Linked DNA regions of Xenopus tropicalis. The protein of the gene in region 2 purifies or fractionates together with the protein of the main gene of each other region. This does not show direct contact. Links are inferred from orthologs where the notes say so. Each region holds a gene or a part of one and is shown on either strand. Other genes may lie near its edges.

Region 1 (2,479 bases), on a different chromosome or scaffold from region 2:
GAGGGCATTTACAAACCGGATTGACATCTAGGTACTAAGTCTAGTGACGGGCGAAATTCGTCAGGCATGGATTTGCAGTGAATTTCCATGTTTCGCCATTGGAGGATTATTTTGCAAAACAGGCGACAAAATTCACTGCGTAAAAATTCTGTGCTCTACAAAAAATTTTCGACCACGTTGCAAAAAATTTCCGCACGTGGAAAAAAATGACACTAGTAATGTCCTCTCCATTAACGACAGAATGATTGTGCCCCAGCCTTTGGCACTTTAGTGTTGGTCATAACCAGAGCATTATGCTGGGCTACAGGGTCAATTACATGGGAAGCTCACTAGCCATAGTTGTTTTCATGTATTTAAAACTTCAGATTTAGTAGATATTGACTGTCCCTGCAGAGGGATAATGGGCCAGTCCACTGGTAAGTGTGTGATTGCTGTTTATCAAATCCTTGCTCAGGGCCACTAACAATGGGTGCTTTTTGGGGTGGTTGCATGGCAGCCCTGGGGGTTTTGTGTCTTTATATTCGGTGCTTTAGTCACCATTCCAGTTACTGCATGACCTGTTCTGGCACTGACCCGAAGAAGCTCAGGTACCTGTGTAAGTGCAGATGTAGAACCATGGTTTCCTAAACAGTCTTTATCTTCAACAAGAGCCCAAAAAGAAGGGTTATTGCAGGACTTGTTTTCTTCTCCCTCTAGTTTTATATAATAATATTTATGTTATTTGTAGCACTAAACAGTACAGAACAGAGACACTGAAAGCACTTTCATTTGACATTGATCCCATTTGGCCTTCCCAGCCAATCACCCTTTATTATGAACTTCCTCTCTGTAGACCCAGGAGACAGCCAACCACTGGGGGAAATCTTAAGGTTTTATATTATACAGATCATTATTTCCAAGGCTTAGGTAGTGTTTAAAAATAAAACCAAGAAAAAAAAACAATGACTTTATTTCCTGTGCTGTGTAGGGAGCTGTATATGTGCATTTATCTGTGTTTTAACCTTTTTTTCCCTTCCTTAGGTTCGACAACAGTTTCCTCCTGGTTGGACCGTCCCTGAAGCCCCTACGCAGGTCACCATTGAAACACACCCTGTCCAAGAAACAACATTTCATGTCCCCCCTTCCCAGCAAAATGTACCGCATCACCATGGGAATGGCTCCCACCACCATCACCACCACCATCATCACCACCACGGACAGCATGTCTTGAGTAACAGGACGAGGACCAGGATCTACAATTCTCCATCAACTAGCTCCTCCACCCAGGATTCTATGGATGTCGGTCACAGCCACCACTCCATGACATCCTTGTCTTCCTCAACTACTTCTTCCTCAACATCTTCCTCTTCTACTGGCAACCAAGGCAATCAGGCCTACCAGAATCGTCCTGTGGCTGCTAACACCTTGGACTTTGGACAGAATGGAACTATGGATGTTAATTTAACTGCCTTTTCAAACCCTCGCCAAGAGACTGGCATCACTGGACATCCAGATTACCAATATTCTGCAAATACAGGCCCCGGCCACTACGTAACGGAAGGACACTTAACGATGAGGCAAGGGATGGACCGAGAAGACTCTCCCATGACAGGAGTTTGTGTTCAGCAGAGTCCTGTGGCAAGCTCGTGACTAAATTCAATCTAGGTTTGTTTGGTTTTTTTTTTTTTTGTGTGTGGGTTTGTTTTCTCTCTTTTTTTTTATTTTTTTTTATTTTTCCTTTTGTTTTATTTGTTTTTAGAAGTTTTTTTTTTTCCAAGAAAAAAAAACTAAAAAAAAAAAAAAAACAAAAGCAAAAACAAAAAAAAAAGTGCAAAAGCTGCTTTAATCAGAAGGAGATAAACACACTTAAACCGCTACAACAGGGAAAAGCTGACTATTTTTTTAAACTTGAAAAAAAAAAACAAAAACAAAACGATTGCAAAGGGACAATGAAGTGAAACGATTTTTATTTTTTTAACGAGCTGTTTCCAAACACACCTTATTGGATAGCTCCGAGGTAATTTCCTCTCCCTTTTGCTTCCCAACCCCCGCCCCACCCTTCCCCACCCATTAAACTCTGTACACTCGTATCATAATAATTTTATAAAATGATATATATATGTATTTGTATATACATATATATTTATATATTTTAACCATAGTAAGTTATACTGAACATAGTCAGTTGCCAACATGATAAAAAGCAACATTATCAAAAACAAACAAAAAAATGCACCTCTTTGGGTCCCCTCGGGGGGGCTTAATGGTCCATCGAAACTTGGGCACAGATATGCAGTACTGTAAGAGAGAGGAACCTTCGACCTCCTAAACACACAAACCATAGTCAAAGGGACGGGTGTCACACACAGTCAACTTGCTAAGATGGCGGTCAACGTGCTAAGATGGCGGTCAACGTGCTAAGATGGCAGTCAACGTGCTAAGATGGCGGTCATCAGAATCTCCTGTCCTGAATCTGGGAAACAAAGCAGCCGTTAAAAAT
Region 2 (4,319 bases):
GTGCAGGGAGTTATATCAAGGTACCGAGTGTGGGGGAGGGGCAGGTCCATGAGAGGCAGGTTACAGGGTGCGGGGAGTTATATCAAGGTACATAGAGTGGGGGAGGGGCAGAGCCATGAGAGGCAGGTTACAGGGTGCGGGGAGTTATATCAAGGTACAGAGAGTGGGGGAGGGGCAGACCCATGAGAGGCAGGTTACAGGGTGCGGGGAGTTATATAAAGGTACAGAGAGTGGGGGAGGGGCAGGTCCATGAGAGGCAGGTTACAGGGTGCGGGGAGTTATATCAAGGTACAGAGAGTGGGGGAGGGGCAGAGCCATGAGAGGCAGGTTACAGGGTGCAGGGAGTTATATCAAGGTACCGAGTGTGGGGGAGGGGCAGGTCCATGAGAGGCAGGTTACAGGGTGCGGGGAGTTATATCAAGGTACAGAGTGTGGGGGAGGGGCAGGTCCATGAGAGGCAGGTTACAGGGTGCAGGGAGTTATATCAAGGTACAGAGAGTGGGGGAGGGGCAGAGCCATGAGAGGCTGGTTACAGGGTGCAGGGAGTTATATCAAGGTACAGAGAGCGGGGGAGGGGCAGAGCCATGAGAGGCAGGTTACAGGGTGTAGGGAGTTATATCAAGGTACAGAGAGCGGGGGAGGGGCAGAGCCATGAGAGGCAGGTTACAGGGTGCAGGGAGTTATATCAAGGTACAGGGAGTGGGGGAGGGGCAGGTCCATGAGAGGCAGGTTACAGGGTGCAGGGAGTTATATCAAGGTACAGGGAGTGGGGGAGGGGCAGGTCCATGAGAGGCAGGTTACAGGGTGCGGGGAGTTATATCAAGGTACAGGGAGTGGGGGAGGGGCAGGTCCATGAGAGGCAGGTTACAGGGTGCGGGGAGTTATATCAAGGTACAGAGAGTGGGGGAGGGGCAGAGCCATGAGAGGCAGGTTACAGGGTGCGGGGAGTTATATCAAGGTACAGAGAGTGGGGGAGGGGCAGAGCCATGAGAGGCAGGTTACAGGGTGCAGGGAGTTATATCAAGGTACAGAGAGCGGGGGAGGGGCAGAGCCATGAGAGGCAGGTTACAGGGTGCAGGGAGTTATATCAAGGTACAGAGAGCGGGGGAGGGGCAGAGCCATGAGAGGCAGGTTACAGGGTGCAGGGAGTTATATCAAGGTACAGAGAGTGGGGGAGGGGCAGAGCCATGAGAGGCAGGTTACAGGGTGCAGGGAGTTATATCAAGGTACAGAGAGCGGGGGAGGGGCAGAGCCATGAGAGGCAGGTGCTGACCCGGTGGGGGGAGTGGCCAGGGACCGCTGGGCGGGGCAGAGGGCGGAGCGCCAATCACACTGACAGACCGATGCTCTCGGTGGCACAGCTGGCAGATCGGTGCGATTGAGCCCCTCCCCCAGTAGCACAGCCCAGACTGACAGGGAGCGGAGGGAGGAGAGACAGTCTGGGCATCTCACAGCCGGGAGCGCCACCATGTCCCGGGGAGTCACCCCCAGCCGCTAAACCTTCCCCCCAGCCCCCGGCAATGAGCCCATCTGCCCCCGCCCCGGGCTGCTGCAGGGAAGATGCCGGCCCCAAGCCCCAGCACTGGCAGGTAAGTGTCTCCTCCGGGATCGGCACAAACACACAGCCGCACTGCAGCACTGCCCCCCCTCCTACTGGCACTGCCCCCCCCCTACTGGCACTGCCCCCCCCCTACTGGCACTGCCCCCCCTACTGCACTGCCCCCCCCTACTGGCACTGCCCCCCCCCTACTGGCACTGCCCCCAGCTACTGGCACTGCCCCCCAGCTACTGGCACTGCCCCCCTACTGGCACTGCCCCCCCTACTGGCACTGCCCCCCCCTACTGGCACTGCCCCCCCCTACTTGGCCCTGCCCCCCCTACTGAGCCGCCCCCCCCTACTTGGCACTGCCCCCCCCCCCTACTGGCACTGCCCCCCTACTGGCACTGCCCCCCCTACTGGCACTGCCCCCCCCTACTGGCACTGCCCCCCCTACTGCACTGCCCCCCCCTACTGGCACTGCCCCCCCCCGCTACTGGCACTGCCCCCCCTACTGGCACTGCCCCCCAGCTACTGGCACTGCCCCCCTACTGGCACTGCCCCCCCTACTGGCACTGGCCCCCCCTACTGGCACTGCCCCCCCTACTGGCACTGCCCCCCTACTGGCACTGCCCCCGCTACTGCACTGCCCCCCCTACTGGCACTGCCCCCCCCTACTGGCACTGCCCCCCCAGCTACTGGCACTGCCCCCCAGCTACTGGCACTGCCCCCCCCCTACTGGCACTGCCCCCCCCAGCTACTGGCACTGCCCCCCCAGCTACTGGCACTGCCCCCCCAGCTACTGGCACTGCCCCCCCCAGCTACTGGCACTGCCCCCCCCTACTGGCACTGCCCCCCCCAGCTACTGGCACTGTGTCCCCCCCCCAGCTACTGGCACTGCCCCCCCCCCAGCTATTGGCACTGCCCCCCAGCTACTGGCACTGCCCCCCCAGCTACTGGCACTGCCCCCCCAGCTACTGGCACTGCCCCTCCAGCTACTGGCAACTGCCCCCCAGCTACTGGCACTGCCCCCCAGCTACTGGCACTGCCCCCCCAGCTACTGGCACTGCCCCCCCCCAGCTACTGGCACTGCCCCCCCCCTACTGGCACTGCCCCCCCCAGCTACTGGCACTGCCCCCCCAGCTACTGGCACTGGCCCCCCCTACTGGCACTGCCCCCCCAGCTACTGGCACTGCCCCCCCCAGCTACTGGCACTGCCCCCCCCCTACTGGCACTGCCCCCCCCAGCTACTGGCACTGCCCCCCTACTGGCACTGCCCCCCCCTACTGGCACTGCCCCCCCAGCTACTGGCACTGCCCCCCCCAGCTACTGGCACTGCCCCCCCACTGGCACTGCCCCCCCTACTGGCACTGCCCCCCCAGCTACTGGCACTGCCCCCCCCAGCTACTGGCACTGCCCCCCCCGCTACTGGCACTGCCCCCCCCAGCTACTGGCACTGCCCCCCCCAGCTACTGGCACTGCCCCCCAGCTACTGGCACTGTGTCCCCCCCCAGCTACTGGCACTGCCCCCCCAGCTACTGGCACTGTGTCCCCCCCCCAGCTACTGGCACTGCCCCCCCCAGCTATTGGCACTGCCCCCCAGCTACTGGCACTGCCCCCCCCAGCTACTGGCACTGCCCCCTCCAGCTACTGGCACTGCCCCCCAGCTACTGGCACTGCCCCCAGCTACTGGCACTGCCCCCCCCCCAGCTACTGGCACTGCCCCACCTAGCTACTGTCACTGCCCCCCAGCTATTGTCACTGCCTCCCCCAGCTACTGGCACTGTCTCCCCCAGCAATAGGCACTGCCACCCCAGCTACTGGCACTGCCCCCCCCCGCATGGGACCCGGGGGGTACATATTCCTAAACTGGCACCTACGGGCACACCTAGGCTTCACCTTTAACATTTATATGGCTGTATCCCTCCTACATATCTCTCCCTCCTATATACATCCCCCCCAGCCCTGTATCCCTCCTATATACATCCCCCCAGCCCTGTATCCCTCCTATATACATCCCCCCCCAGCCCTGTATCCCTCCTATACACATCCCCCCCAGCCCTGTATCCCTCCTATATACATCCCCCCCAGCCCTGTATCCCTCGTATACACATCCCCCCAGCCCTGTATCCCTCCTATACACATCCCCCCCAGCCCTGTATCCCTCCTATATACATCCCCCCCCAGCCCTGTATCCCTCGTATACACATCCCCCCCAGCCCTGTATCCCTCCTATATACATCTCCCCCCAGCCCTGTATTCCTCCTATATACATCTCCCCCCAGCCTTGTATCCCTCCTATATACATCTCCCCTAGCCCTGTATCCCTCCTATATACATCCCCCCAGCCCTGTATCCCTCCTATATACATCCCCCCAGCCCTGTATCCCTCCTATATACATCCCCCCCAGCCTTGTATCCCTCCTATATACATCCCCCCAGCCCTGTATCCCTCCTATATACATCCCCCCAGCCCTGTATCCCTCCTATACACATCCCCCCCAGCACTGTATCCCTCCCATATACATCCCCCCTAGCCCTGTATCCCTCCTATATACATCCCCCCAGCCCTGTATCCCTCCTATATACATCCCCCCCAGCCCTGTATCCCTCCTATACACATCCCCCCCAGCACTGTATCCCTCCCATATACATCCCCCCTAGCCCTGTATCCCTCCTATATACATCTCCCCCCAGCCCTGTATTCTCTTATGTACATCTCCCCCAGCCCTGTATCCCTCCTATATACATCCCCCCCCAGCCCTGTATCCCTCCTATATAC

The links.
Region 1: the proteins of lzts3 (region 2) and dyrk1a purify together in Homo sapiens (affinity purification with mass spectrometry; 3 studies listed by BioGRID and IntAct, with this or other methods). This does not show direct contact. The link is inferred for Xenopus tropicalis from reciprocal best matches to the Homo sapiens genes LZTS3 and DYRK1A.

The regions. Positions count from the first base shown.
Region 1 is NC_030678.2:12,495,178-12,497,656, reverse strand, and holds part of dyrk1a (dual specificity tyrosine-phosphorylation-regulated kinase 1A), read left to right. Parts: intron 1-1,020; coding exon 1,021-1,629; 3' UTR 1,630-2,479. UniProt on the Homo sapiens protein: Dual-specificity kinase which possesses both serine/threonine and tyrosine kinase activities. Exhibits a substrate preference for proline at position P+1 and arginine at position P-3.
Region 2 is NC_030677.2:12,570,515-12,574,833, reverse strand, and holds the start of lzts3 (leucine zipper putative tumor suppressor 3), read left to right. Parts: upstream 1-1,350; 5' UTR 1,351-1,589; intron 1,590-4,319. UniProt on the Homo sapiens protein: May be involved in promoting the maturation of dendritic spines, probably via regulating SIPA1L1 levels at the postsynaptic density of synapses.